4 linked regions of the Arabidopsis thaliana genome follow. The protein of the gene in region 3 purifies or fractionates together with the protein of the main gene of each other region. This does not show direct contact. Each region holds a gene or a part of one and is shown on either strand. Other genes may lie near its edges.

Region 1 (6,885 bases), on a different chromosome or scaffold from region 3:
CCGTATGTTTTCAAAAAAGGTTAACGACACTAATTTGCAATATTTGAATCGGTCGATAAGGCCCATAAGATAATATAGATGGGCCCAAGTTTCTTTCGAGGTGACACTTGTGACTTGTGATCCGATGAATAGCTTGTTTTTTTTTCTTTCTAAGATAACCTAATTTGCATTTTGTTTGTTGATATCTAATCGAAAGCTGCTGGATAATCAGCTCCCATTTTCCCTAGTGAGGAAGTATGTGCCATAGCTACCAAGGGCACTGATCCAGGTTAGATCAACCTTTGAACTTGGACTACTTAATTATCTCTAGGTCTATGCATAAGTTTGATTGGCACAGTGATTGTTTAATTTGATGTCAATGTCGACTTAACAGTAGATGTGTCATGTGTCATGTGTGCGAGTCTCAGACTCGCAAGAACAGTCTCAACTGGAGTATACTAGGGTGATCCAATACTAGGAAACTATATAAAAAAATGAAAATCTTAAAACACACAAATCAATATAACCATTGAACACCATATTTTTGCAACTAATTCAAGCAACAACTTTGCTTGGACCGTTCATTGCAAACAACATATTCCCACCACTTGGCAAATAGACGACATTGGGAGAATTAGAGAGCGTAATCGCAACCTCTCTAGCCGCCTCGACCCTTCTGAGCTTGATCAACCCCATCCCAGCCCCTGCAGTCGCTTTCGATATAACCCGAGCCGCCTCGCTCTCTCCTTCTGCTCTAATCACAGCCGCTCGTCTCTCCTGATCAGCCTTTGCCACTACGAACTTGGACCGCTCAGCTTCTTGCTGTGCCACCTGCTTCCGCTCCACCGCAAGTGAGAACTCTTTACCGTATGAGAGACCAGTGATCGACACGTCATCGAGAACAATGTTGAACTCCTTAGCTCGCTTGATCAACGTTTCGCGTATAAGAGCTGAGACCTGTGGACGTTCTGTTAAGAGCTCGTCAGCGTTGAACTGAGCCACCACCGCTTTAACCACCTCGTCCCGATCGCTGGTAGGACCTTTTCACCATAGTCGAGACCTAAGTTTTGGTATATATACGAGAGGCGCGAAACCTAACACGAACCCACGGAAAACAGTTATATATTATTTTACATATATATCACAAAATCTTATTAGTGAAATTTTTTGGATATTCGCGGGAACTTACATCAGGGCGAAACATAACACGAAGTGTGAGGTTGACCATCTGAAGATCCTTAGTTCCAGAGTCGGTATTGATTTTGTAGGGTTTGGTCCGAATGTCGAAGATATACGGCTTTTGCACCCACGGAATCTTACGATGTGTCCCTTCTCCTACTGGTTCTTCTAGAATCCCTTCGAATCGGTGGAACATAACAGCTCTCTGGCCACCATCAACGGTGAACATTGTTGATCTCACAGCCGCTATGGCAGCTCCTAGACCTAGAGCTACCTTTGTGAACTTTGACCAAGGCATGATTGGCTTTGAATGTCTCCTGTATGGATTTTAGGTTTCTTTTTATGTTGTTTAGGGTTTCTTTTCTTGTCAGATAGGTGAGAAGTAGTTAGAGAACGCAGGAGATGAGGTTTTATAGGAAGTTTTTTTTTTTGCGTGAGGCAGAAGTTAAGGAGAAAGCTTATTATATTGGGCGGGTTCTTATTTAGCGGGTCGGTTTTCTCACGTTCTGTTACTCACTCGGTCAACCATACCTGCCACGTGTTACTTGTATGCATTACTATTGGTGGGCTTTTAGACGGGTCTTTTAATTTTCCGGTCCGTTACTTTTTAATAAGTTTTACCAGTTCCCGCGATGCACTCGCTACCTATCTCTATCTTGCGAGTTAAACCCTCACCCAAAAATCTTCGACAAAACTCGAATCTTGATCTAAATCCGAGAACGAACATTATAGGATTGTGTAGATTTATTTAGTTTTATTTTGTGAATTTGCAGGTATAAGGTTGTTGATATGAACCTTATTCGAATGTTTGGGGATTCCATTTCTAGATCCAAAGATGTAATGCGATTTGTGTGCCAAAGAACATTTGCTACAGCTGCTGGTAAAGCGAAGAAGGTTGGGAGGGGAGATGGAGGTAATGATGCACCAAAAGCATCGAACTTGAGCAAAGAGATCAAATCGAGTATGGTTGTTAGTGCTAATACTCTGAAAGATGGATTGGACCCTAAGATCTTGCCTAATTCAGATCACCCTGATTATTTATGGCATCTGCTTGATAAGCGACCGGCGCTTAGCGAACTTAGAAGGAAGAACGTTGAGACTCTTAGTTTTGATGATCTTAAACGTTTTGTGAAGCTGGATACCAGAGCTAGAATCAAGGAGAACCATTCTATCAAGGCCAAGAACTGAAATGAGATTCAACAATGACTTGTTGTATGTGTCCCTTATAATTCCCCTTGTTTGAGCAATCCCTTCATTTTCCTTATTATCTTTGGGATTATTTGATCTTAAAAGATTTTTCTCTAATTCCATGCTCTTCTCAGTAAATTGGTTAAATTTGTGTATTTTATGCTATTCATTGGCCAAATGGTATATCATTCAGCTTTCCACAACAGACTGCCTAACACCATGTCTCAGCTTGGATGGTATGTTTAGTCCCCAATTCTCTTCCTATCCTCTTCAACACATGAAAAGTTCACAATCCAATGATCGAAGATATGAATCTCTGTGTTTCGTAATTTCTTACACTTCCCCAGCTAACTTTTGATTCTTCCAAGTAAAAGAATATATGGCTTACCAGTTGCTGGTTTCAGGGGACTTGGTGTTGGCCGTAAACAAAGAGAGTTATAAAGCCAAATATAACTCACCAAGAATGGCACACTTCATAAAGAAAACGTTTCTCATCAATATCAAGAATCAAGATGTGAGCAACCAAGTGTAGCAGAGAGACAAGACATATGTGTATGGAAGAAACTCTTAAGAGAAGAACTTCTGAACAATACAGAGTTGAATTAAAAGTGCATTTTGCACATACTGCTTACCCAAAAGCAAATCTATTATTCCAAAACATACATCATTTAGAGGAATTCTAAAAGGTGAGAATAATAATGGTATATATATTATATATAGTACATGAAAAGGAAGATCAAACAATGATCTAGAGAAGAAAGAAGAAACTATCTAATTTTCTTGTCTACTCTGATTTTGTTAGCTTTCCTTTCACTAAACAATTCTATCCAGAGATTCCAAATCCAAAGTATACTAACAGTAATAGCAATTCCAACAACAATTGCCCAAGAAATCCACAACCAATTAGGTATCACACCATGAGCACCACCTCGAGCGTAAAACGCTACCATTTTCCCGAAAAACAAAGGTCCCAACACACCCCTAACGATACTGTAGAAGGCGTAAAACGGAGGAGACAAGAGATCGTACACTTTCACAGCTAATCGTGATTCCGGATCATTCTTCCTTGCTCCGGCGAGCGTCCACGCGTTCTGACACGCGCTTGTTACTTCAGCTAGAATCAGGAGGCCTAAGATGGCGCAAGCCCCGTGGAAGACGAGGAATCTGCAGGTTAGGAAGACGAATAGAGTGGCTACGTGATGGCCGATGAAGAGTACGTCGTTAGGGTTGAAGACGATGTAGTGGAAGAGATCGGTGAGGAAGTAAGCGACGCTGAAATCGAGGACGGTGTTTTGTGCGGCGGTGTTTGCGGAGGCGAAGGAGCGTTCGGAGGAGGAGAAAACTGCGCGTGTGGCGAGGAAAACCGCTGGAGATCCATGGAAGATTGAGATCAGGCAGCTTGAAGCTTCGGGACGGATTTGTGGTTTCCAATTGCGGAAGACGATGAAGTAAGCGATTAGGTAGATGGTTAAGAACATGGAGAAGAAGATAGGAAGGTCTGGAATTGAGATTTCTCCGATATTGATCGACATTGAGATCGGAATCTCAACCCAAGAGACAATGGAAGAAGAAGAAGAAGAAGAATAATCTACACAGAAGAAACTTAATCCCTTTTTATCGTCTGTCGTCTCGTTGAGTTTTAGCTTAAACGATAGACTGATAGACACATGTATCAAAATATCTATTTAATCATATATTATATTGACCAAAACAACTTTATAATATCATCTCTTTTTATGATGAAGAAGGACACTGAGGTGTGATGGTAAAAATCAAAGTGAAATGGTACAAATACTTTCCCAAGTAGATCAATCACCAGAAGTTGTAGTAAAGCTAAAGACATAAACCACATTTATAGGTAAATGGTCTATGGCTAATAAGTAGTAAGAAGTAAGAAGTAAACTATATTTTTCAAGCCAATTCCGAAACGACAAACACCAAATGCTGAAATGGCGTTTCTTCATTTTATTTACCATCATTTGCTGCCTCTGCAAGCTTGGCGGAAAATCGAAGCTTGTTGATATTCAATTTTAGTTCCTCAACACATAGTGCTTTCCATTCATTGCTCAACTCTCTTCTTTTACCAGTTCCAAGGTTCATCAGCTTCTCAAGCTGCAACTTCTTTTGATAATCACTTAATCCTTGCGACATCATGGTGGTCTCAAACGCATCCCGCACAGCACACAACACATCATCATCATCATCATCACTCTCTTTTCCAGCAGTCCCGTTCTTCTTCGTAGTTATTTTGTCAACAACAACAACAGCTTCATGAGGTGACTTGCCACTTTTCGCAGCCCCTTTGTCAATTAAGGCCACTTCCTCATCCTCCTCAAACACCTCCTCCTGTGATTCAACAAACCATATAATTGAACAATATCCAAATCATTCTTAAACCACAATTCATTAAGCAAGTTTTATTGTAACAGATTTGACGATTGTGTATCAAAAACAAATGACAAACTCTTATTAGTCACTTACTCCACTCTCGCTTTGATGTGCTTTATCCATAACACCATTAGTGTATTCAGCATCAATTTTACGCCAAATCATCATGGAATATCCAAAAGCTTCAGTTTCACTAGACCTAGTAAAATGTGGATCATTTCCTTGATCGATTTTCTCCATTTGATCAAGGAACTTCTTCTTCAACTTCCTGGTCTTACTCATAAGCTGGCACTTGGAAACTTTCACATGAATGGAACCTTTGACGTAACAATAAAACGCATCCCAATCAATTTTGGATTCGAGTCCTGTTTTAGCTCGAAAATCCACCAATCCCTGAGAATTATAGATATGCCGTTTCAGGAATCGCAACGCAATCAAGTAAATGCAGTAGATAGATGAGACAAAGTAGGAAATACCTTTAAGATAGAGAGCTCGTCTTCTTCGTTCCAGATCCGGTTGCTCGGAGGAGAAGCCATTTTTGTGTTGTGCTTCGTCTTCTTCTTTTTCTTCTTCTTCGTTTCTTCTTCTGTTGCTGTTTCGGAAGCAGTACGTTTTGAAGTACGCTTCTGTGGAGGGTTATCGTCAGAGTCGTCACCACCACCACCAGGTGAAGAGAAACCTAGCTCCGTCGGAGTCGCCATTGTCAATTTGCTTACTTTTATACTTCACAATTCTAGCCTGATTGGCTGGCATGCAGAGAAAAGCCTTAATCAGGATATCAATTACACTAAATCGACTAGCGATAACAACTTTTCATGAAATTCAAACTTACGCCAGAAAAAAAAAACAGACTCTTGAGAGAACAAAAATGTGGTTTCCAAGTTTCAGAGCGACTTCTTGAGTGAAGAAGAAGAGATTCCGAGTTTTCTTTTTATTTTTTCAGCGGTGTAAAAAATCCATTTCCATACAAAACGACGTCGTATTTGACATAAGGCTCTTTTTAAGTTATAAATTCTTTACTGATACAATATACTCAATTCGACAAGAAGCACGAAGATAACCCGTACCAACATCACACAACACAACGCAAAGGGAAAAAGACGATGACCCACTTCTCACGACCATTCCAAGCAAAACTTAACTCATGAATGACTACGTTCCCACTCTCAGTACCAATAAAATCCAATCCTCAGTCTGAACGGCCCTCTCTACTTGAAGCTCACAGTATATGTTTTTTTTTGGGATGGATTCTGGATTCAGAATTCAGATATATCTATTGTTTGGTTTTGGGGATCAGCATACAACCTCAATCAATCTCTCCCTCTTCTATATCTATTTCAGGGGCTGGCGAAGTTAGCGGGTCAGCTTCCTCCTCATCCTCATCTTGTTTCATAAACAGTCCAAGCTGTTCAAGAGGATTACTACCCCCAAAACTGAAACTACGCAACCCAACATCAGGCCCATCCTCCTCCTCTATTGTATTTGTCAAATGGTCTGTGTCGACTGTTTTCAGCAGTTCTAGATCCTCGAGAAACTTTGCGTTCTCATTGAGTTCAACCGACTGCTCCATCTGCACCAAATACCATGAAAACTTATGTTTCAGTGAAAAAATGGGACTAGATATTCCAATTTTCTTAATGATAGAGTTCACCCATTATAATATAGTAATGACTATTTCGTTGTAATGAACATCTTTACCTCCATCAATGCCTGGCGTGCTGCTTCTCTTTCAAGCTCCAGCTTTCTCTTAGCCTCAGCCGCAGCTTCAGCTGCAGCTTGTGCCTCAGCTTTTCTACGAGCTTCTTCAGCTGCCTTAGCTTCTGCTTGTAATCGCGCTTTCTCTGTTAAGAAAGGGCACATATTATAAACTCAGGTTGCAGTGTGCTTTTATCACTTACAACTGGTAAATGTCACCAACTACAGTTGATTTAGCAAATCAAGGAAGCAAACCTTTCTTCTTTTGAAGCTCGAGTTCTTCTCTCTCACGCTGCAGCTTCTCTGGATCTCGAGTGTCATTCTGATCTCAGGAACACATAGAATTTACGAAAAATCAATTCAAAGGTCAAAAAGGACCCAGAATAGTGGGTTGGAACTTGGAACGCACAACAAACCTGGTTAAGAGGTTTCTCTCGGGCTTTCAAAATTATGTCT
Region 2 (7,596 bases), on a different chromosome or scaffold from region 3:
GCTCTGCTCGCGCTGCTAGTCGTCGCGGAGGCCACGAGCGCGTGTCAGAACACGTGGACGCTCGCGGATGCGCGTGGGAAAGACGCGCCTCTAGCGGTGAGTTTGCACCGGTTCGTTACGGTGCCGTTTTACGCGTCCTATAGCGTCTGCAGGTGCGTTCTAGCGCCGTTGCTTATCGTTAAGATGACGTGGTTTTACGTCAGCGGAGGCGCTGATGACGTCATACCCAGATGGGTTTGGGTTTCGTGGACCGTTGTTATTGTTACTGCCGTTACCGTTAGTATCCTTTGGATTTGGAATTTGTGGGTACTGTTTTTTCAGGAAAGATATTCCAAATTTACCAAAAAGGTTAGGTAAAAATATATTTACAGTTTCCATATTCGAGATTTTGTTATCTAATTTGAGCGTAAATTAATATCTCCGAATAAATTATGTTCATGGATTTGGTTGCATATATATAAAAATTGTCCGGGACAAATTTTTAAAAAAATTATATCTTAGATTCCAAAATAAAGTCTCAAAATAATTAACATATAGTCAATCAAAGTTTTTATATGCTATTAGAGTTGTTTAATAGTAAAAAAACAAAAAAACTTTGGTTGACTCTGTCAAGAATAAAATGAGATTTGTTCTCTAATTTTAGCGTAAAATAATAAATCTGAATTAATCATATCCCATTATCTCTGGACTTGGAGCTATATGATCAGTACTATCATTGAATTTAGACACAAATTGGTTATAAGGGTGTTCGTTTAATATAGTTTGGTATTCGGTTTTTACAAAATAAATTTGAAAATCCGAGACAAATTGGATATTCAAAATAATTGACAGATCGTAAGGTTTATTTTTATTGAAGATAGAATACTTTTAATTATTATTGTGAGTCGGTCTTAGGTTGTTGAGACGAAAGTTAATTATAAGAATGTTTGTCACAACCCATTACTAAGTCTAAAGCATAGAAAACTTGGGATGACTAAACTTGGGGTGACTTGTACAATATCAAAAATCGAGATCATTGCCTCGGACAATAATAAATTCCACAAAAGTACGAGTGACTAGTGTCCACGAGACTAGTGGTTGAAAATTAGGACTTGAATTCATTCCCTCTAGAAGTTTATACAAATTTCAGACCAACTTTTTAATTAACACTTTTTTTCATTTATTTTTTCTTGAGCAAAATAAGAGAGGAAGTAAGATAGATTAAAATTTAAACAACCACAAGATAAACATGCTTTAAGATTCTAGTTAAGAGATGGATAATTGAACGAATCCAAACCAATTGGAGGGGAATGGTCTGTTAGATTTCACATGTTAGAGGTTCCTCCATGAAGTCTAGAGTTAGACTCTTTCGAAATCTCACAAAATGTAGCTTGAAGGATGAGTTTGACATCAACAATCTGTTGGTCCAATAGTAAATCTCCCAGATGGAGGTGTTGAGTTCAAAGCATGTTGGGAGGGATTTTTTCTCCTAAAAAGATGAATTTAACTTGGTGTAGGTCTCGCCAGGCTGACCTCGCCCATATTTACAAATTACAATATCATCAAAACCCGAAGGAGTAAACAAAGAGTGGTGATTAAAGAATGAAGTGTCATTTTAAATAGCTCCCACTTGTTTTTCTCTCGATCTCAATCTGACAGAAACTGATATATTCCACTGATCTTCATCGATTCATCAAAGTTTTAGATTTTAATTCAGATTTCATCTTAAGGGAGGGTATTACGAGTATAGGAATGTGATTATCATATTAATGAAAGTTGAGGTTTTAAAAATAGCTTAACCAAACAAATGTAATCTTGCCAAAAAGATATAAAATGAGTCCATCAACAAAATTTATCGGAGTTACAAGATCATCAGATTCCGAAAAGCTTTTCTGTTTATGCGAGCGGTAATAGTGTTTTTTGATGTCTCCGTCGATTTCTTTGAAGGTGGCCAAAGGCGAAACGGAGACACTATTGTGCAACAAGTTGTTCATTTGTTTCCAAACATGGTAAGCTGTAGCATGAGCAACTCCTACTAATTTCCAAAGAATTGTGGGAGCAGTCTCTGTTTTTAGCTTAGTCCAAGCCAGAATTGAAATCCAAGTAATAAAGATATAAGGCGATATCGTTAATCCTCTTCTGGTGTTTTCTGTATGTAAAACGGCGTCTTTCTTTTGATTCGAAACGGAGGAGTTTGTGAAGGGTAACAAGACGGAATGGTTCTTTATATCTGGGAGGACCAAGATGGGGAAATGTGGAAAAAGAATGAATCGTAGAGACAATGGAGGATACTGGAGGGTAGTATCATCTCTGCCAAGAAGATTCATGCTGGAGAAGCAGGCCTTGTCGGCTACAAATACTCACTAGAGTACTACATTGGAAAACAACCAAAATGGCGTAAAAGAGGGTTGGTTGATGCATGAACACTGGCTTAAGTCTTCTGATGATATTAATAACTACGAGCTGGTAAGAGTATATATGTACGTTTACTTACTTGGTTTCCAAGTTATTGAGACTCTTGAGTTTTGGTTTTTATTGTGACGACTTCTGTTGTTTTGTTTGAGTAGGGCAATTATGCTATGTGCAAGATCTATCTGAGTCCACACGCAGCAAAGAAGAAGAAAACACACGATGAAGAGATCGACGATTTAGTTCAATTTGTGGAAGCAGCCTTAGATGTTTCTTTTTATCTACTTTTGCTGTCCAAAGTCAGAGGTCTCATTGTCTTTATATAGAATTTCTTGTATATAACATTTTCCACTGGTTGTATAGAAAAATCAATTTTAGTCTTTTGTGCTTATTCACTCTAATCAAAATCTCTAATCAAGGTGAAGGAGGAGGTGGAGGAAGAACATTTTCATCTTGCTCTCTAAGAAGATCCAAAATCTCTGCAGGGTTGTTATCAACACGCTCTTCGTCTCTGTCTTCCTCTCCGGATTTAGTTTCGTTTATGGGCAAATAATCAAATTCGGGTTTAATCTTCCAAACCGTTGTTTCCTTTTATATTACATCATTTCCTTTTCCTTTTTTATTATTGGGCCGAAGTAGTTTATATTATTAATGGGCTTTAAACAAGCCCATATTCAATAATTGTCGGCCAAAAAAAACCCTCTCTTCCAAGTTCCAAAATCATTTCATAAACCCTAACAAACCCCTAAATCTTTCCTTTCTCAATTCTCTCCTTCGAAGCTTTTTTCTTGTGAGGTCAGAAAAGAAAATGGGAAGTCAACAAGTAGCGATTTCGTTTCTGACGAACTTGGCGAAGGCGGCGTTTGGGTTAGGTGTGGCGGCGACGGCACTAAACTCGTCGCTCTACACTGTTGATGGTGGCGAGAGAGCTGTTTTGTTCGATCGATTCAGGGGAGTGTTGGATCAGACCGTCGGCGAAGGGACTCATTTCTTGATCCCGTATCTCCAGACGCCGCACATATACGATATTCGTACGAAACCTCACACTTTCTCCTCCAAATCTGGTACTAAGGATCTTCAGATGGTTAATCTCACCCTTCGTGTTCTCTTTCGCCCTGAGGTAATTTCGATTTTAGCAACAATCAATTTCTCGATTCTGTGTTTGATTTTGTATACATTGGTTGTTTACAAGATCGAGGGTTTAGGATGATCGTGTTCGTTCGATTTAGCAATCATTTATCGATTCTGTGTTTGATTTCGTGGAATTTGAAGTTTGTGTACAAGATCTAGAGTTGAAGATAATCCTTATGTGTAATTTGGTTTCTTCGATGAATGTTACTCTTATTATAGAAGCTTTTGGTGCATATCTATGCTGGCTTCGATTGTTTGAGGGATTGAATAAGTTGTTGTGGTTATTTTACTGTGAAGGTTTCGCGTCTCCCGTACATTTTCCAAACATTGGGTCTTGAATACGATGAGAAGGTTCTTCCATCGATTGGAAATGAGGTCTTGAAAGCTGTGGTTGCTAATTTCAATGCTGATCAGCTCCTCACTGAGCGTCCTCAAGTATCAGCACTTGTTCGTGATGCTCTTATCAAGCGTGCCAGGGAATTTAACATTGAGCTCGACGACATAGCCATTACTCACTTATCGTACGGTGCTGAGTTCTCGAGGGCAGTGGAGGCGAAGCAAGTGGCTCAGCAGGAAGCTGAAAGGTCAAAGTTTGTGGTGATGAAGGCTGATCAAGAGAGGAGAGCTGCGGTTATAAGAGCAGAAGGTGAGAGTGAAGCTGCTCAGTTGATATCAGATGCAACAGCTAAAGCAGGAATGGGACTAATTGAGCTTAGGAGGATTGAAGCTTCAAGGGAGGTTGCGGCTACTCTGGCTAGGTCTCCGAACGTGGCTTACTTACCTGGTGGACAAAGCATGCTCTTTAATCTGAACCCTGGTCGTTGAGCTATAACATTGGTATGCTCTTTTACTTCTTTGAATAATGAATGAAAAATGGATTTGGACTTAAGATTCCCATTTAAAGGCATTAAGGTTATTCGGTTTGGTTGAACTAAGAGTGGTTATGGTTTGGTATAAACTGTTTGGTTTGATAGTAGAGTATGGTTTAGGTTTGTGGAATGGTGTGGTTTACTTGTTTGGCCTTGTTGTATTTGCAGGTGGGAAGAGGAGCTTCAGTGGAGACAAAACGACGGAGCTGTGAAGTTTATTAACGTTGATGCTCTTTTATTTCTGATGAACACGATGTGAAAAAAGATAATTGTTTTGAGCCGTTCTATCTTTTCTGACTCTAGAAGTAAAGACTATGCCATTGTTGTCGAAACCCGATCATTCCAATGAAAGGCTTCACCAAAAAATCTACCATAACAATAGTCGAAATTTGTATTGTCAAAAACAATTTCCAACACCAAGGTTGTTGTACTTGTATTATTTAAAATATAAATTAAAACATGGTAAATAAATTAAATAAAACTTTTTTATGTGGTCACTTTGGTGGCTTCGGTACATGCGGTGGCCTCTTGTGGTGGGGTAGACAAACTCTAAGTATAGTGCATTCACAAACTTTAACTTTTCCCTTCAAATTACAATTTGCTCCACCATAACCTTCGTTGTTACAACTCGTTCGGCACCTCCTAGCACCGTCTACCTTATTACACGTCTCTGGCGGTGCTTTGCTTGGATAATCATCACACAATTCCCAATTCATTGCTTTTCCTAATACAATAATTCGATCAATTACAAGTATTTATATCGTATTGATTATATATGCATATTTTTGTTTTTTTTCAATGAAAATATATTTGGTAGAAGATTTAATATTATTTACGATTTTATCTCCTTGTAGTGATTTATTTTACAGCTAAATTACAATTTTGACAAATTTCCTTAATTTTTTTTTTAAATGAGTATAAGAAGTTCCATTTTTTCAATATTTGTATATCTTGTAATTTATAAACCAAAAGTTTAACCGCAAATAACACCTTTTTTTTTTGTTGCATTAAGCATCTATCATTATAAATCAAACTTTTAGACATTTTGTTTTTCCTTTTATAAGTTTTTATTTTTCTTTGTTAATAGAGTGTTTTATGAATAATAAATCTAAGTGTCATATTGCTATATATCAGGAATTATTATTTCTAAAAATAGAAGAAGAAATGAGAGATAATCCGTAAAAAATGCCTATGAAATTGTTTAATGAAAAGAAACATTCATTATTAATTTATATCATAATTCTCTTTTTTCATATAACTTTGATATGTTTCTTTATTAAAAATATGTTATTTAAACGTAATAATTACCTACATGATATTATGCATTATACACTGGATGTACAAACTGCGAATAAGTATTGGAATATGAGAGGTATTATTAAGTAAACTAGGTTTGGATGAAGTGACTAGTGAGGATGGTTGGGAGATCTTGCAATGAAAGTTTGTGATCATGGGCTCATGTTTCCAGGGAATGTACAAGCAGGAGTGGATTGATAAGAGATTGATCCATTTTGAAAATTATACAAGTCATTTAACAAAAGCTACATATGGAGGAGATTAAAAGACTAATTAATGATAATGTAAAATAACTCTGATATATTCTTTATTCTCTTCTCTTTTCTTGTAAGTTCTACTTATTTCCCATTTGAATCCTGGTGCTTCAACTTTCAAGTAAAGCTCTAGTCTTTGCTTCTCTTCATCTCTCATGATCAAGTTTGACTCGAGTCCGTTGCAGAATCAAGTTTAGCTCAGATCTTTCATGATGCTGTAGATGAAGACTAAACACCCTTCTGAGTCTTATCATGTTTCCATTTTTTGTTGCAGCTCTTCTTATTGACTTAGGTTTGATACCTCAAGCACCAAGACTCTTCATTCTTCAGAAAACAGTGTATTGAGGATCAAAGTAATGTGTTAAGCTTCGGTTTTGACTTCAAATAAACTATTATAAGCGGTTAGACCTCTTCTCAATGCATACCACACAGCTGAATGCAAAACAGAACGGCTTGTTTTCACAGTCATTTAAGCAACTCCCACACTCATGGCAACGTTCTATGCAGACAACGCAAGCTCTGCAAGATGACTTAGAATAAGGATATTGACCCTTCAATGGACATGTATCTGCTGGACAATCAAATACCAGACTTGGTTTCTCACACCAGGGGCATATCTCGAGGTCAGTAACTCGATCATCCTCTAAATAGAATTCTGATCTACAAGACGTATAGAATCTCTTCTTCCTCTCTTGTAAACCCACTTTAGCATCTCCTCCTAGCAATAAGTTGAGCTCTTTAAACTGCTCCTTTGTGAAATACAACGCCCCACCAGTGATTAGGCTTTTGACTCCAAGACGGTTTGAAGATTTTAAGTCCCTTAAAGTTGACACTAGTCCTGCTGTGCTTAGTCTAAGACAACCAGATACACTCAGCTGCAAAAAAACAGACACACATGAACAAACAACACAGAATCATATAACAAGATTGGTTCCATCATTCGATCAAACTAACCTTAGTAAGATGTGGATTGCTAGCAAGAACTTGCTTCAAGCCATAATCAGTGATACCAACACATCCTCCAAGATTCAAACATCGAACACCGCCTAGAGCACGGCGTGTTAACTTCAAAAGAGACTCATCAGTAACTCTATATTGAAGAAATGAGTCATTAAGATCAATACTTGTCCAGAAAAAAGGTTCCTTTCCAACCGAATCACGCAAAGACCTACAAACTACTTCAACCGCAAGAATCTCTTTCAACTCTAGATATGGAAGAACCAACTCAAACGCGTCATGAGCTTCACCACCACCACCACCATCATCATCATCATCACCATCATCATCATCATTATTATAAAACCAACTTAGAGTCTCGAACAACATCTGATCAACAACACCAATTTCTTTCTGATTCTCATGAAACCAATCAGAGATTGTGTTCAAAGTCGATCTAACTCTCATACAAAACGGATCCTCAGGCAAAGTATGATCTTCTGAGACTAAACCAATCTGATTCTCATGAAACCAATCTGAGATTGAATTCAAAGTCGATCTAATGTTCATACAAAAAGGATCATCAGGCAAACCCACAAAATCATCCCCAAATTCGCCTAAACCCAATTCTAATTTTCTGTAATCGTTATAAGAACCTCGAAGCCTTTCGTAATTAACCTCCATTAACGAATCTCTCAATGAATTAAGGAAATCGAAATCTG
Region 3 (9,483 bases):
TCTTGTTTACGAAGCAGCACCTTTGATGATGGATATCCCGGTGGAGGAACACCTAACTCACCACCTGGGACAAGCATACTAGCTATAGTCGATGCAGACACCACGACGTACTTTACAGTCTTAAGGCCGAAGTCCCTAGCTACTTCTGGAATCCAATGAGCAAAGTCAAAGAAGATCAGGTCCGGTTCAACGGCTCGGACCACAGCTTCAACTTGATCACGTGTGAGATCCATAGCAGACATCAAGAGATCAGTTGATGTCACAGGGATCTCAGAGGCTGTCTCTGTGCCAACGGGGAGACCATCCACATGAGGGACGGTGACAGAGCGAAAGACAATGTTGTGTGGAAACAGATTGAAATGTTCCAACTGTTTCAGAGATTTCTTGGGAAGCAAGAAAGTGACCGTATGACCTTTCTCAGCCAATTTGTTGGCAAGAAAAAGGAACGGGGTCATATGGCCTGTTGCGAACCATGGATACATAAGTACATGAAACTTCAAACCACCCATTTCTGTATATTTTCTTTTCGTTTTCTTGTTTCTTTGTATCTCTATTATGCTTTGGATACTAGATGGGTCTATATATAGTGCCAGGGTTTGGTGTGAAAATCTAACAAGGCCTACCTAACTCTGGTTGTGTTCTCTCGATAGTTATTAATATATACACCGTTTGGTTGTTGCTGACATGATTCTCATACCAAAACATAACGCTGGTTTTCCCATTTGCTGCTTTGATTGCTTATTTATAGTTGTATTACTGGTCGATTGAGCCTTGCGTAGACACGTCTGATTGGGGTCCGTTAAAATTTTAATTGAGCCTCGATATAGATGCGCACTAGATGTATCCATGGTGGCCTGTAGTATTTGTTTACGACCAATAAAACTTGGGGTGTTCGGTAAAAGTGTACATTGCCTTCTCCGAAATCCAACTAAAACCGTACCGGAAATTTAATATCCTTGCTATAAATGCGTGGTAGTTGGAATCGACATGCAAAAAGAACCAAGATTTTGTAGGCCATGTACTCATTCTTCATTTTATCCTCTGCAACCGTGGGACATAGAGGAGGAACCTCTAGTCTAGATATCGATCTACTTGGTGCCAACTGAATGTCCCAGTTTTAGTGTTGATATTTACACATCATAAGCTATATAAAAAAGAATTGTAATTTTTCGTTAATCATAATTTACTAGAGGCGGGCACAACAGAATGTACATGGGTATTGTACATATTGACAATAGAACAGAGATGAACATACGAATAACAATGTGAGAAACACTTGCACTTGCACATACTCATGATTTTGAGATTTGATGAAATGAAAATCAAAGGATCACGAGAGGGGCCTCATCGGTTTTAGCAGCAGGTGTGGTCTCTTGTGCTGGTGGCTCAGTCTCAGAAGATGTTTTTTCTTCTGCCTTCACAGCTTCTGGAGTTGGCTCAGCCTTGGTTGCCTCAGAGGAGTCCTCTTTTGTCTCACCTTCCTTCTTTGTCTCTTCAATGGACTCTTCCTTCTTCTCCTTTAATCAACAATCAGCAACAATAGTTTTAACTTAATATGAGTTTGTTCAATCAAGAATTTGTAGTAAATTCTGTTTAATTGGTAAATTTCATGTTATTCAATTCAAGAATCTTTAAGATCATCTACTAAATTATTTAGAAAGAATATATTGGACTCACCTGAGTTAATGTGGCATCTGTCTCGGTCGCGGCATTCTTGGACTCAACAACAGCATTTTCGGTCGAGACAGAGCCTTCGACGATGTCAGATTCCTTAGGTTTGCTCGCACAGGCTCCCATGGTTTTTGGATTGAAAGGATTAGTTTGGAAAACAAAACTTACAATGGGAAGAGCTGTGGAGCAAAAAAAGAAAGAAAGAAAAGGAGAACTCCTCTAGACAAAGCTGACTTTGAAGAGGCCAAAACTCTTTAATTTTATAACCGGAGGCTGAGCAAATGGAGGAGAGGGCTGTGAACAGATTCATACAGGAATCGTATGGACTAAAGCTATTTCAGGTAAAGTTTTGGTTAATTTCAGAATCACAAGTCATTACACCTTTGATTCTCTGTGAGGACCTATTTATCCGGAGGACAACTTTTATCTCCACCATTCTTCTATATCCTGTTTAGGGGGCAATGGCTTCTTTTCTGCTGGCAAATTCTGACATCTCATGGATTCACAAGCTCCTCCTGGTTAGATTGCAATACTCTGCAACCGAACCGAATAATAACGGGTACAGGTAATAAGCAATGCAATGGGAATAAAGGTGAATAAGAACACAAGGACCATGTTCATAACAAATCCAGTAGGAAAATTCTTATCGGAGAACAGATGTTCAGATTCGTTTCTATATGCAAAGTGATGATATTCTAGCTATTCAAACGGAAAAGATGGTTACTGCCTCATATTTGAAAGATGAAAAATGGTTTCCAGTTTTCTCAAGCCCAAAGAATTTATCTCATCCCCGGTTCGGCTGCCTACTGCGGATCCTTGTTGCGGTTCTGAAGAGAAAATCGTGGTTCACCGGTGTGACCTGGTTTCTCTGTGTCAAATGATATTGAGCCTGATCGGTTATTAGAGCCTTCTGATATATGTTTCTCACCCATGTCTTCCAACTCTTCCAAATCTGTTTCATCAAGTGCTTGTGTTTCTTGGTGATCTTTGCTTGGACCATTGATGACAAGGCTTTTGTACATTGTTAAAGCTTGAGCAATCATGCTAGCAGGATTTGAAGCACCACTTGGAAGCAACATTATCGTACCCTAAACCCCAAAAAAAAACAAAAAACATGAACATTACATAAGCCCGAGCTATGCCAAGAGACTGGAAGAGATTACAGTAATTGATTTGTTTTTACCTCCTTGGCAATGTTACCGAAGGCTGTAATGTATTGCTCTGCAACTCTCAAACTCGCCGCCTGCAAATTTTACAGTGACACCGTATGAGATCATATTTTGGACAGAAAAAGTTAAGAAACCTAAACACAGCAATAATAGTGATATGACTTAAAATTCCAAAAGTTGGAAAGTTCAAGAAGACACAGAACCCTTTATCCAAAGAGAATAAAGACGTACACATTTAGCAATTTGTGTAAATACTATGAAGAATTAATTAATCAAAGCTAGTTAGTTAAATCAAAACTATGAATACCAATATTCTGCTTGATCTCAATTACTCACCTCTACTCCCCCAGTTTCCTTGAGGGACTGAGATAACAAGACCAGGCCTTTCGCAGTTGCTTGTGCTCTAGCTAGTATTGCTTCTGCCTCACCTGTAGAACATCATCAAGGATAATATAAGAAAAAACCAGTGGGAGATAGCAACCATATTGTGCATTAGCAGTAACGAAAATAGTTCCTCATGCACCAAGCATTCATCAGTGTACAGTGGAAAAATAAGCAAATGAAAACTAACTTTTTCTTCTAGTGAAACTAACTAACAATGGACATAACATGCAACTCTGATGTGTTCTCGATCTTAATGGCTCACTAACCTTGTGCTCGATTCACCTGGTCCATCTTTGCTGCTTCAGATGCCAAGATTACAGAACTTTTCTTACCATCAGCAATGTTGATATGGGATTGCCTTTCTCCTGTCAAATTTAGTAAAGCAATGATTAGAAACATGCTAAGCAGGCCTCTTCTTTTCCAAATGCAAAAAACGAAACTCAAAAGGAATAACAGATAGATTTTAGCCAAGAATAACATTATGAGCCGTAGCAAGCACTGCTCAGTCTCGAAGATGAGTTCTCAAAGACAAGTCAGTCAAGGTTACCTTCAGACTCAAGAATCTGGGCTCTCTTTTTACGCTCAGCTTCAGCTTGCATTTCCATAGCAGCTCGCACTCCATGAGGGGGCATAATATCCCCTGGAAAAACATGAATTAGAAATAGGAAAAAACAGATATGTAACTATCACCGGAAAAGAAAAAACACGAACAACTTACTTATCTCATAACGAAGGCACTGAAGACCCCAGTCTTTTGCAGCAACATTGATGGCTTCCTGCAAGAATATATATACATCTCAAAAATCCATCATATATTTTCTTCTTCAATGGATATACTTCCTCTAACCATCATGTCTCCTTATGATTTGAAAAAGAGACGCAAATAAGTTCGGATATCCAACAAATACAACATGACTAAATCCCCCAGCTGAATCTAAATTCCATATACCCAACTTGTGGTATACAAACACACTGCCAGATGTGACTAATTTTTCCAACTAAACAGCTCAAGCCGCAATGCTCAGTAGGGAGTAACACCAACAGCAATATTCAAGCTAACGTGACTTGACTTTGAAATTGATCAACTTAGCGGATTCTAAATTCTTTGAAATGCACAGGAGCTTAAGTACGGTGAGTCCTAACACTTCAAAACAGAGATAAAGAAGGCTGGAGAACAAACCACTATCTTCTCGTTGAGAGTGTCTCGTTCCTCAAAGGTCTTATCAAGAGTGATCTTACCAAGCTCACTACGCATTGTGGTCTGAGCCAGCTGTACAACAGCATAGATAGGACTCTCAACGCCATAAGAAGCTAACTTAGGATCCACAATCTGCAAAAAAAAATTCCCAGATCAACAAGAAGAAATCAGTAAAGAATCACAAAAGTAAGAACTCAAAACAAAAAAAAAAAAACAAGAGGAAAATGGATTGGTGAAAGAAAAGAAGATGACCTTAACGTAGAGAACACCATCGATGTGGATACTAACGTTGTCTTTAGTAATCGCAGTCTGATTCGGAATCGGGATAGCTTCTTCCTTGAGAGAATGAACATAAGCAATACGATCCACGAACGGAATGAGGAAATGAATCCCCGACGGCAACGTCGTAGCGTATTTACCGAATCGCTCAATCACAAACGCCTTCCTCTCCGGAACTATCCGGATTCCCCAATTCGTCGGCGGCGTCAATTGAAAACTACAACGAACATCCATAAATCAATCCTAAGGTTCTCTACTCTAATCTAAAACCAAATGCTTCAAAAACGAAATCGTAAGGTGAGAAACATAAATGATTCAAAAATCAATCCTAAGGTTCTCTACTCTACTCTAATCTAAAACCAAATCGTCAATTGAAAACTACAACGAACATCCATAAATCAATCCTAAGGTTCTCTACTCTAATCTAAAACCAAATGCTTCAAAAACGAAATCGTAAGGTGAAAAACCTGTTGGAAGGATAGCCGGCGGAAGTGAACTGGCGAACGGTTGAAGCGGCGGCGGAGAAAATCGGAGGTGGAGAGGTAACGGCAGATTGACGGAGGTACGAAACGGACCTCAAGGCGGAGTAACCGACGGAGCTTTTACGAACGAGGTGGTTCATCTTCGTGGGAGAATCAGAAAAATGATATGTGAAGAAGGAAAAACCCCAAAACAAAACCTCTTATAATGCGTAGTCAATATTCAGGTACTGTTTCTTCGCCGGATCACGAAGATTTCACGCAATATGCGTGGAGAGGAGGCAAATATTTTATTGGGCTTTAGTGGATAGTTTGGTACCTGCTGTTATTATTGGGCTTATCTCTAGCCCATTCAGACGCCTGAAATATCCATCTGTTATTAATTTATTATTCATTGTTTTGGTTGTTATTTTAAAGAGTTTTTTTTAGTTGAATCCAAAATTCATTGTGAATCGAGAAATTGCAAGAAAATAATGGCTCCGATTGGTAACCACTTTTGAGGAAAACAATGAATAGGAAAGTCGTGTTCCTTTTTGTTCCTCGGTATTTTTTACCATTTGCAAGGAATTTTTGATCCATTTTCAGACAGGTGGATCCTACATTTTTCCTCATCATTCCTCAAAAAAAAAGAATGATAGAACAAAATTGTTCCTCCCCAAAATTCCTATTGTTCATTTCTTTGGTCACCAATCGGAGCCAATATAAAAAATTTGGGTAATGGTTTCTTTTAGTTTCTAAAAATCATGTAATGATGTGAGTGAATTATAATGAATATTTATATTGTAAGGAATAAAATACATATTTTATTTCAAGAAAATAAACTTATATCATGAAATTTTGATAGTTGTAGATAGTCATTAATTCATTATTATACGACGTTTTGGATATTGAAAAATTTAGACATTACAAAAGCCATGAAGGGGTGTTAAACTTTACTATAATGGAAAAAAGCGGTTTAAAATTCAGAATGCATGGAAAAAACAAGTCTAATGGGTTTCACATGGTGAAGAACTGTGTGTGAGTCATCAAAGATCCGGCGCCGTTCCCTTTTAGATATACCGACGTCAAGAAATAAAATGGCAACAATTAAAAGCTTCGTAATGACGAAGCGCATTTCACCTTTCAAAAGTGTCTTCTCTTTCTTTTGTCTAATCTTTTCTAAGAAAATAATTTCTATCTTTTGCTTAGATTTCAAAAGATTCAATCCAAGTTTTCTTTTGGTGGGATAAAGTAAAAGATGAACATGTAACATGGGATCCAAAGTCTAAAGAAGGTTATATTTTGTGAACTATATCTAACAAAGAGAATAGTGGTGACACACTTTACACTAAATCCAAGTCACTAGATCCTAAAAAGCTTATAACATGACGACTTCAACAACATGCACCTCATCTCTTCTGCATGAAACCCAATCACTGTCGTCAATATATATATGCACACACCTAAGTTCGTGTATCTCTACTATATATAAAGGTAAGTGTGCATAGTTTGAGTTAGAAATTGGAATTCGACCAAAATACATAGTTAAAGTATAATGGGTGATCTTCAAATCGTGCCGGTGTACAACAAGGTGGAAGCACAGTACGTAGAAATGATGGTGCCTTTGTATTCTTACGGTTGCGAGAAGAAAGTCAAGAGGGCTCTTTCTCATCTCAAAGGTACGTAATCAATAGTTTTAATGGTTATGATATCATAGACGACTATGCATAAATAATTAATAAGCTTATTATATTTTCTTTATAACGAATAATCAGGAATATATTCAGTGAAAGTAGACTACTACAATCAGAAGGTGACGGTGTGGGGGATTTGTAACAAACTCGATGTGTTAGCGATGGTGAAAAAGAAGCGAAAAGAAGCTCGGTTTTGGAATGTAGAGGAAGAGGAGAATAATAATCCAGAGAGCGTTGATGATTGCATTGTCGTAAAAGAAGACACTATTATTAAAACTTCATTTGATACCGATAAATCATCGGCGTTTTATACGTATTCTACAACGCCTCCGAGATTCAGTATAAGACCTCCTATGTCACTTATTAGAACCTCTTCATTCACATGGAAAGCCGTGAAGAAGGTCTTCACTAGATCCCTTTCCTTTTGAATCACGTCTATATATGACTCTACTAAGTTTCTAATAAAGCTCCAAGAAATCACGTACGTAACTTTCATTGGATCTCTTAATATATACATAAATACCAAAGTTTCTATATAGTTGATAAGGTTTGCATCTCGCAACGGATTGATGGTACGTAGTTCAATGGTCACCGCATTGTTCGTAAAATCTTTCTTGGGACACATATGTAATTCAGTTGTATGACGCTTATCAACTCTGAAGTTAGTTTATATTCGAATGTCTTTAATTTTAATTATGGTTAGTCTTTAAAACAATCATAAGAGGTTATCAAGAAAAAAAAAGACCGAGTCTTTCGAGAAAAATAAAGTGATAACGCTTTATCTTCCAGTCCACTGTACTGAACTTAGGAGATCATCCACTATTTTCTCGGACAAAGCCCTAGTTCCTCTTTCAGAGACAGAGGTGACAGACACAAAAACTATAATAAGAACTCGCAGCGGAAGATCAACCAAGACCAGATCTGTTCCCTCGCATCCAATTCCCATCGCCGTTGCAGAATCAGCGAATCCAGAATCGGACAATGACTCGGTAGCTACAACAACGGAAGTGAGAACTCAACGTCGTCCTCGTCAGAGCGTGGGGGAGTCTTCTCGTCCCAAGCAGAACACGCTGAACAAGAAGAAGGAAGAGGAAGAGAATGATTCGACTCAAGTGATCGACGAGGAAGAAGAAGAAAACGCAAGGCGAAAGAAGCGTTGTATTCATAATCTCCGCAAGGCTATTCAAAATCTTAAGGAATGTGTCGACATTCTTGAAGGCTTCGTCTTTTAACGATGACTCTCTTTCTCTGCATGTTGCTCTCTATCTCTATCATGTCAGGACTCTTGGTGTTATTACTTCTTTTAGGTTGTTTCTATGTTATGCTTTGTAAGCTTTAACAATGGCTATCTCTTTGTTTGTTATATATAAAAATCAGTCAGTTAGATCAAAGACCTTTCATTGAATTTGGAATGTTCAGTTGCAACAGAGATTGTAGTAAAACATCACATCTACCTCTATTTCTGGCTACTGCTCTTCTTTTTCAGTAAATTTCCAAACTTCCGAAGCAAAGGCTTCTTCTTTTTCTGTTGTTGGTCCTTTGAGACCACATCTTCTGTTTGTTCTGCTAAAGACAAACCATTACTTAACTGATCAAAGTTCTCACTACCTTCTGCTTTCGAGTCGACTTCTTCTTCAGCAAAGTCATGCTCTGTGTCTCTCTCTGAAGAAGCTTCTCTCTTTTCTAAATGATACACTTCGCTTTCCACGGTGTCTTTATCTTTACCTTTCTCTCCTTTTCCTATTACTTGAACGTTGTGAGCTGACCAATGAATTGTTGTGTCATCTTTCAAATGTCTATCAATAGCTTCCAAAGGACTTTCTTGTACTTTTTGTTCTCCGGTACTGTTATCAAAAGGATTGGTATTAGTAATCTCTTCCCCTTTCTCATGTGTGGAAGAAGCTTCTTCTAGCAACTTAGATAACTCTTCGATCTTCTTAAGTGCAGAAGCCTCTCTGGCCTTGAGCTCATAGTTATCGTGAATTACGGTCTGCAATTCTTTGTCAAGTAAACTCTCTTTCATCTTTGACAACTCCTCTATCCTCTTTGCAGCTGAAGCTTCCCGCACCTTAAGCTCCTGATTTTCGTTTCCCTTATCAATCCAACTCTGTTCTAGATGTAACAACTCATCAATCTTCTTCAAAGATGATGCCTCCTTGGCCTTAAGCTCCTCATTTGCCTGAAAAACACCCTCCAACTCGTTCTCTTTATCAAGTAAACTCTGTTTAAGATTTTTCAACTCTTCAATCTTCTGAAATGATGATGCAGCTTGGGCCTTGAGCTTCTCGTTCTCAACAACTGCGGTCTTCAGCTCCTTTTCTTTATCAGCCAAAGTTTGTTTAACATCGGACAGCTCCTCTGTTGTCTTAAGCGATAAAGCCTCTTTGGATTTGAGCTTCTCATTTTCGAAAACAACATCTTGTAACTCACTCTCTTTCACGAGCAAGCTTTTATTTAGATTTGATAGCTCTTCAATCTTCTTTTCGGCCAGAGAGTCTTTGGCTTTAAGGTCCTCAATCTCAAGAACCATATCATGCAGCTCATTTTCTTTATCAAGAAGATTTTCTTGCAGCTTTGCTAACTCTTCAATTTTCTTAAGATAAGCAACCTCCCTTTCTCTAAGCTCTTCA
Region 4 (8,241 bases), on a different chromosome or scaffold from region 3:
TTCCACCGTCTGTTTATCCTTCTGTATGCAAGATGATCAAGACGTGCTGCATGAACAAATGTGAGTCCCTTTCAGCTGTGGAATTTATTACTTGGATAAAATGTTAACCTGCTTGAGCCTAGGACACGTATTTCATCTACGAGTTAGTCTTCATTTTAGTAGTTAGCTTAGAAATACAAGTTTTAGACGCTTTGAAGTTCATGTAAACTATATTGTCTCATAATTTCCAGCTGATCTTGGTGGATGGACACGGATTGTTGTGGAGAAGCCATTTGGCAAGGACCTTGAATCTGCAGAGCAACTGAGTTCTCAGATTGGAGAGTTATTTGATGAATCACAGATCTATCGTATAGACCATTATCTTGGGAAGGAATTAGTTCAAAACATGGTAACCTGCTTCTCTATTAATGTCTAAATCATCAATCTCTTTCTTTAGACTATCAGTGATTATTTTATCTCGTGCATTTCTTGCAGTTGGTCCTCCGGTTTGCAAATCGCTTTTTCTTGCCACTTTGGAACCGTGACAATATCGAGAACGTGCAGGTGAGAGCTGCATAGCTAAGACAGAAATAGTCAGACTGTTTGTTATTTAGAGTCAATTCACATTTTCAAATGCTTTTCTTGCAGATTGTTTTCAGGGAAGATTTTGGAACTGAAGGGCGTGGCGGATATTTTGACGAATATGGGTAATACTTTCTTTTTGAGTGTCTTCTTGTTCTTCATATAGGGTCTTAATGAGATGACACCAGTTCATTTCTGATGACATCTTCACTTCTTGCCACACAGAATAATCCGTGATATTATTCAAAACCATCTGCTACAGGCAAGTATACCTGAGATACTTTTCCTGATAACAAAACTTCATTGGAAATCTATGTGATTGTTTTTCAGAGTCTCTCTGTAAGTTCAAATGCTTTCATGTATTGACTAACTGAGTTCATAATACTCTGTAGGTTCTTTGCCTTGTTGCCATGGAGAAACCAATATCTCTTAAACCTGAGCATATCCGGGATGAGAAAGTGAAGGTGAACAAATACTTTTCTTGACCACTTTTTGCCATTCTATCTGGTTTTCGTTGCCTCTTTTATCTGAATTCATATGATTGAGAACCTCACTGTTTGATCTAGTTACATTTTTCTTTAAAAATCTCCTTAGCGAGTTTACATGGATTGGTTGATATTTCCATTTGCATTTTCAGCCAATTAGTCTCTCGTTACTGATTATTTTAGTGAACTTCAGGTGCTTCAATCTGTGGTTCCGATAAGCGATGACGAGGTAGTTCTTGGACAATACGAAGGATATAGGGATGATGATACTGTTCCAAACGACTCAAACACTCCAACATTTGCCACAACAATCCTTCGCATACACAACGAAAGATGGGAAGGTACCATGTCCCACTTCACTCTTCATATTTTCATCTATCAGTTCAGAAACAATCTGGAAATTGACATAAAATATGAAGAAAAAACAGAGGTTTGATGGGTCAACATGATCATAGATAGCATCAATCTTTTGGTTAAAGCATGTGGAACCAAAATCCGACATGTTTGCATGCACATTCTAACGGTCCTGGATATATCTTTCAGGTGTTCCATTTATATTAAAGGCCGGAAAAGCGTTGAATTCAAGGAAGGCAGAAATTCGCATTCAATTCAAGGATGTCCCAGGCGACATATTCAGATGTATTGTCTTGCCCTGACATCGTGTTTTGAATCTTCTTTTAGCTTTTTGAATTTAAATATATGTAAAGACACAATGTATCGCTTTGTCTAAACTCTCTTGCAACAGGTCAAAAGCAAGGAAGGAACGAGTTTGTGATACGCTTGCAACCTTCAGAGGCAATGTACATGAAACTAACTGTAAGTATATGATGAACAAACAAACATAATTTACTAATTACTCTGACCTTGAACCACTACAGTGAACCATAACGCTTTTGGCTATGCTTTTGCTACACAGGTTAAGCAACCAGGTCTAGATATGAATACTGTGCAAAGTGAACTAGACTTGTCGTATGGGCAACGGTATCAAGGTGTCGCTATCCCTGAGGCATACGAGCGCTTAATTCTTGACACGTAAGAAATAAATTTTCTAAATTATATACTACCCCAATAGGCTTTATATATCTAATTGATGCCTTCTGTTCCTTCATGTTATCTTCAACATATTTTCTTTCCATCTCTCTGCAGAATCAAAGGCGATCAACAACATTTCGTTCGTAGAGACGAATTAAAGGTAGAAACATTTTCTAACGCCACCCTTAAACCAAAGCAGTCTCTGAGATCGTTTTTTTGTTACATTACAAATGCTCTAACTATAGACACAATCCAGACACAAACTTTTGCATCATACAATTCAGGAGCTAACATTTGTATCCATTTTGATGATTATTACAGGTTGCGTGGGAGATCTTCACGCCGCTACTCCACAGGATCGACAAAGGAGAAGTAAAGTCAATCCCATACAAACCAGGAAGCCGAGGACCGAAAGAAGCTGATCAGCTACTAGAGAAAGCTGGTTATCTTCAGACTCACGGCTATATCTGGATCCCTCCTACACTATAAAACCCTACATATATATAAATACACAATACATGTATCTACATGTATATGTATAAATTATGCTGAATAGTCCCTCCTCGAGTTTGGTGTTTGTACGTGAAACTTGCTACTTCAGCTGTTCACTTTGACACTTCCTTTGGTCTTGTATTTGCGGCTTTGTAGAAATAAAAATAAAAATCTTACCAATACCATAAATGAATTTAGCTTTTGTTGTGCTCGTTAAATGAATGAAATTGACGATGAGATAGAAAAAATTGCCAAAAAATGTAGAGTTTGTTGATATACACACATAAGTTCAATCTAGAGGTGGTTGAAACACACATTAAGTTCCATCTAGAGTTTGTTGACACAGACACATAAGTTGAGTCTAGGAACCGACGCCGTCTTTACATAGTCATCATTATCATTAGATGACCAAAAAAAAAAAAACTAAAACCGATGGATAAAATGGATCTCGATAGAAAAGGCTATCTTTCATGATTTCTCTTCTTTATTTGCTTTGTTTCTGAACTTGCTCTGTTTATGCAAAAACAATTGAATGTCCATACAGATCGAAATTTGACGTAGACTATCGACAGTTTATGCAAAATAGGTACCATCTAGATAATCCAGATGTGACCATAGTTTATCCGCATAGAACAACACTCCTAGGTACCATCTGTATTTTCTTTTCTCACGCATGTGTAACAAACAAATTACTTACAGTTCAGCCAAAATCATTTATTTGTTGAGAATTAGATAAACATGATGCTGAAAACAAAGATTCTTCAGGTAGAGTAAATTTTGCCGAGATTCAGAACACAATAATGACAACTCAAACAACTAGTTTCTTTTTCTTCTTCAGAGTTCATCAAAACAAAAGAGCATTTCACCTTTTTGATTCAATCAGATTCACAACTTGATCATTAAAATATCGCAAAATGCTCCCAAACAACCTGCACATAACCATAATACAAAGCCTTCAGACAAATCACAAAACGACTTAATTCTATGGATTCAGATGAAGCTTTTACATACCATCATATCTGATCAAGATCAACGGTTCAGGGCAAAGAGCATGCTCTGGCCACCGGGTAAGTAGGCCACATTAGGAGACCTAGCAAGTGTAGACGCAATCTCCCTTGAAGCTTCAATCCTCCTAAGCTCGATAAGTCCCATACCAGCTTTAGCCGTAGCATCAGAAATCAACTGAGCAGCTTCACTTTCACCTTCAGCTCTTATAACCGCAGCTCTCCTCTCTTGATCAGCCTTCATCACAACAAACTTAGACCTCTCTGCCTCTTGCTGAGCCACTTGTTTCTGCTCAACAGCCCTTGAAAACTCCACACCATAGGACAAATGCGTGATAGCTACATCATCAAGCACAATGTTGAAGTCCTTCGCACGGGTGATTAGTGACTCCCGAACAAGTGCTGAGACGTGAGGACGCTCAGTGAGAAGCTGGTCAGCGTTGAACTGTGCAACCACAGCTTTCAAAACCTCATTTCCAATCGAAGGAAGAACCTTCTCGTCATACTCTAGACCCAAAGTTTGGAAGATGTACGGGAGACGCGACACCTTCACAACAATTCACATCACATAAACACACCAAATTAATAACGATTCTACAATACCTAGTCCTCGAAACAAATTTTGAAAATCATAGATCATCAAAACCCTAAACCCTAAATCCAATTCGCAAATGAATCTGAAAAACCTCAATTCAGAGAAATCAAACGAGTCTAGATCAAAAATGAAGAACCGTTATGCGTTATACCTCAGGACGAGAGAGAACACGAAGAGTGAGATTAACCATCTGGAGATCCTTAGTACCAGAGATTGAAGAGAACGTGTGAGGCTTCGTGCGGATATCGAAGATGTGAGGCCTCTGAAGAATCGGGATCAAGAAATGAGTCCCTTCACCCACAGTCTGATCCATCACTCCCCTGAATCGATCGAAGATAACAGCTCTTTCTCCGCCGTCAACGGTGAAAAGCGATGTATTCAGCACCGTCGCCGCCGTTCCAAGACCGAAAGCAGCCTTCGCCAAATTGGAAAGGAACGAAACAGCCGCTTGTTGGCTTCCCATTTTTGCGTGTGGATTATCTTGAATCGAGAGAGAAGAAGAAGGAAGAAGAGATTTGAGACGACGAGAGAGGAAAGAGTTTCTGCTAGGGTTTATGATATGTTTCTGGAACCTACCACGGGAAATGATTTAATGGGCCAAGTAACTTAGCCCAATATTATTATGTGACTATATAAGCCTATTAAGAACTAAATTCAATAATGGGTTTCATGACATTGGGCTGAAAACAGCTTAACGGTTACAGAGTATGTTTAATATCTTTTTGTCTCATAAATTATGTTTCTCTCAATTTTTTTTATTTTTTTTTTACTGAAAGATAGATTATAGATAGAGTTTACAAAGTTAAAGCTGACGATTAACAAGATAATCTCAAAAACTAAGTCGACGGATAACAAAAATCCTCGGAGACTAAAGCCCAAAAGTATGGGAAGCTAACAAACATTACTTTAAATGCATAAGAAAATAGAAACTGAACCATGGAAAATCAAAAACTATAACCAGAATCTAGCACATGAGACATTGCCCACCATCAATCCAAGATAAAGAAAAGCTTGCAGAAATGGCTAAACGACGGGGAAATTCTAATCCACAGCATCAAGATAGCAGCTCTTCTTATAACAAATGAAGACTACCTCACAGTTCAAAAACAGCATCCCAACCAGCAAGAAGAAACCAAATATAAAACAGCAAAATCGAGGCAATGAAAACCAAGATCGGTCAACGCCAATAGTTTATCTCAATTTGTTTAATCAAATAAAAATTGAAGAATATACCTACTTGGACATTTGTATGGTGTTAAGGGCCTACTATAAAAGTATTAGATTAGTACAAGCCAACGGTAGTGAACAAAAATATTCTTCGAGCTACTTGACAAACACGAAGTTGAATAAGGATAACTACTTTTTCGTATAAGAAAAATATTTACATGTGAGCATGATTAATCCTTTTCAAATATAACGGCAGGGGACGTTGTTGTTGAGTTTTTCCAGTATAAAAAGTGTTTTTTTTTCCTTAAAAGAAAAGTTGTGAAACAATGATATCTATTTTTGAAAACTTTTTGTGACTATTTTTTGACCAACAAACAGTATACGCGAATACTTTTCTATTCGGTTAAGTGGGATTTGAAGACAGATGTACACGAGTATTAAAACTGAATCTGAAAGCATGTAAATCTCCAAATATTTTATCCGTAAAATTGTTATGTATCTTCGACCAAAAAAATATAGAGATATTATGTATCACTTAATTAATATGACTCAATTAAGTCGTCTCGAATACTAAGAAAATTATGGAGTTTTACTTGGAAGGTCACACAGTGACCTCACCACGTTATCGAAAATGTCAAATGTTTCGGTGTCGAATCTTATACAGGTTTGAAAATAACCTTTAAAATAGATTTATATTACAGAAAAGTCCTTCAATATTGATTTTCAATTAAAATATTGCAGAGAAATCTTTAATTTCAAAAACTAAACGCCAACTTCAAAGATTGAGCTAAATTCGATTCTTTCAACATTTTGACTCCAACCGGATATATATGTAGTCATCAATATTATCGAAACAGGTAAAAGAAACAACCCAAGTGAAGGAAACATGAATCTTTGATAACCAATTAGAGTGAGAAGTGTATAATTGTAAAATAAACAAACTGAAACTAATATTAATATATATATATATAATTATATATATACTACTACTACTATACTAGGTTATTTTGTCAAATATATATATATGGTACATGACAACAATAATAAGAAACAATTTACACTTTTGTGTTTGCTCATCAAGAAATTTGGAACAAAGTCCAACTAATCTTGGGATAGATCGACCAAAACAAAACGTTCACTTGGTTTTTAATCGGTCAGAAAGAATATGTTTAGGCTAAACATTGAATCGAATTATCATCTGACCACCAATGGTAGATCAATAAAAAGTATTGATGTGTTTTTATCTAGCTAGTGAAAAAATTTTAGAATTGCCATTTACTTAAATATGAGACTCATTACATATAATGCAAATATTCTTTAGTCTAAGCTATAATGGATGCTCATTTGTTGTTTAGTGCACATAATTTTCCTCCACCAATGGCCAGTATTTGTTTACAAACTAGTATAAGATAATGTAAGCTAATTATCACATACATGATGTCACGTTGATACACTAAATTATAAAAATTATAATTTAGTGTCAAAGTGCAGATCGAAACTATAGCTAATTGGTGGTGTTGAAATTATTCATACCTTAGTAATAATTATAAAATCAATTGATTGTAATCTAATAGTTTCGTTGACCATATACAACGAAGATGAAATAGATTGACGAGTAAATAAAAATAAATTTGCAATCTGGTGGAGATAAATTTCATCCTTAACCTACAACACTAGGTGACACGTAACAATTAAACCGAGTCAACTGATTATTTCTTTGAAGAAAACTTCCTCTCGTGTACAGCTTCCGAGATGCTTCACTGGAGGCATTAACTACTTTGATCATTTGATTTTTGTTTGCACAATCACTAAATGCAGATACAAACATGCCCGCGCTGAACTATATTACATAAGCATGTATCTCTCATTCGATGCGGAGATACAGACGGAACACTCGAGTTGCCAATTGCGGTTTAGTCTACACGCTTCTATTGAAATAAACATAACAAGTCTAAGATTATGAGCTTACGACATTGGACAACATCCATATAAAACTCCTGTAAACTGTAATTAGGTTATTTAAACCAGTAATTCATATATATAGGATATTTAGTGAGTTGCTTCTTTGAACAACGTATCTCTTTTTTTATTTTTGTCTACTATATTTTCATAAAGTTTTACATGAGATAGATTCATCTTGCGTTTAATCTATTTATATGGTATTAGTATTTATACGCTAATTTGTTCGTCTATTTTTCTCTTTTTTGGAAAAAATTCGAACTTCATCAGTTGACTCATTAAATAACTTTCCCAACAGAGTTTTACTTTACACGTTTTTTCTTCAATCCCAATAAATTCCACACACAAAAACCTAACTATAAAACAGTTTTGACTTTTAAACATTTCAATAACATTTTCTAATCATTGTTATTATTATCATAAGCCATAACATGTCATCACATAAATGCTCACATGCATAACGACGAGATAAATCGAGAGTAAAAATATTCTTTGTGCATATAGGAGTTGTTCGGAATCGGATAATGATGAATTTAGTTAGAATTAAGGACTCATCATACAAATAACATTCATCACTATACCTTTTTTTTTCTTTTTTTTTTTCATCACTATACCTATTTGCTTGAAATTTTTAACTAATTAATCTTATGATGATACCTTAATTTTTTCAACCATGTTGATGAATCCGTATATAAATATTTTATTTTACACATCTTCTTAGTTTCTATAGTTTTTCTTTTTTGGGGCAACTAGTTTCTATAGTATTTTAATTCAAGAATTAATATGGAAATCGTCGTAAAACATTATTCCAACTAATTAAATAACAATAACAAAATATAAGTCAATGGAAGAAAGCCACTTGACCGAAAAGCAGGAACATGACAAGATAGAAAATGACAAAATAAATAATTTTAAGAAAATAGAGATTGTTAGAACATAGAAGTGA

The links.
Region 1: the proteins of AT4G27585 (region 3) and PHB5 fractionate together in Arabidopsis thaliana (co-fractionation; one large-scale study listed by BioGRID). This does not show direct contact.
Region 2: the proteins of AT4G27585 (region 3) and PHB4 fractionate together in Arabidopsis thaliana (co-fractionation; one large-scale study listed by BioGRID). This does not show direct contact.
Region 4: the proteins of AT4G27585 (region 3) and PHB3 fractionate together in Arabidopsis thaliana (co-fractionation; one large-scale study listed by BioGRID). This does not show direct contact.

The regions. Positions count from the first base shown.
Region 1 is NC_003076.8:4,607,673-4,614,557, reverse strand, and holds PHB5 (prohibitin 5), read right to left. Parts: upstream 1,457-6,885; coding exon 1,169-1,456; intron 997-1,168; coding exon 535-996; downstream 1-534. Other genes in the region: AT5G14290 (Mitochondrial ribosomal protein L37), read left to right, coding at 1,948-2,346; AT5G14285 (DNA-binding storekeeper), read right to left, coding at 3,114-3,878; AT5G14280 (DNA-binding storekeeper-like protein), read right to left, coding at 4,312-4,692, 4,828-5,127, 5,211-5,435; BET9 (bromodomain and extraterminal domain protein 9), read right to left, coding at 6,041-6,304, 6,433-6,575, 6,685-6,751, 6,846-6,885.
Region 2 is NC_003074.8:10,073,708-10,081,303, forward strand, and holds PHB4 (prohibitin 4), read left to right. Parts: upstream 1-3,101; 5' UTR 3,102-3,196; coding exon 3,197-3,508; intron 3,509-3,816; coding exon 3,817-4,344; 3' UTR 4,345-4,356; exon of another isoform or gene 4,357-4,556; 3' UTR 4,557-4,901; downstream 4,902-7,596. Other genes in the region: AT3G27270 (TRAM, LAG1 and CLN8 (TLC) lipid-sensing domain containing protein), read left to right, coding at 1-353, 1,927-1,999; AT3G27290 (RNI-like superfamily protein), read right to left, coding at 6,331-6,813, 6,893-7,558. UniProt on the Arabidopsis thaliana protein: Prohibitin probably acts as a holdase/unfoldase for the stabilization of newly synthesized mitochondrial proteins.
Region 3 is NC_003075.7:13,764,510-13,773,992, forward strand, and holds AT4G27585 (SPFH/Band 7/PHB domain-containing membrane-associated protein family), read right to left. Parts: upstream 5,453-9,483; 5' UTR 5,324-5,452; coding exon 5,169-5,323; intron 4,919-5,168; coding exon 4,675-4,918; intron 4,555-4,674; coding exon 4,405-4,554; intron 4,001-4,404; coding exon 3,943-4,000; intron 3,865-3,942; coding exon 3,772-3,864; intron 3,590-3,771; coding exon 3,491-3,589; intron 3,269-3,490; coding exon 3,177-3,268; intron 2,915-3,176; coding exon 2,855-2,914; intron 2,760-2,854; coding exon 2,475-2,759; 3' UTR 2,190-2,474; downstream 1-2,189. Other genes in the region: AT4G27570 (UDP-Glycosyltransferase superfamily protein), read right to left, coding at 1-509; AT4G27580 (phosphatidylinositol transfer SFH5-like protein), read right to left, coding at 1,323-1,517, 1,678-1,797; AT4G27590 (Heavy metal transport/detoxification superfamily protein), read left to right, coding at 6,715-6,838, 6,935-7,254, 7,434-7,480, 7,578-8,085; AT4G27595 (WEB family protein (DUF827)), read right to left, coding at 8,310-9,483.
Region 4 is NC_003076.8:16,311,990-16,320,230, forward strand, and holds PHB3 (prohibitin 3), read right to left. Parts: upstream 5,303-8,241; 5' UTR 4,633-5,302; coding exon 4,321-4,632; intron 4,122-4,320; coding exon 3,600-4,121; 3' UTR 3,582-3,599; intron 3,500-3,581; 3' UTR 2,861-3,499; downstream 1-2,860. Other genes in the region: G6PD6 (glucose-6-phosphate dehydrogenase 6), read left to right, coding at 1-60, 231-388, 475-543, 628-686, 787-823, 954-1,025, 1,240-1,387, 1,590-1,685 and 4 more. UniProt on the Arabidopsis thaliana protein: Prohibitin probably acts as a holdase/unfoldase for the stabilization of newly synthesized mitochondrial proteins. Necessary for mitochondrial and cell metabolism and biogenesis.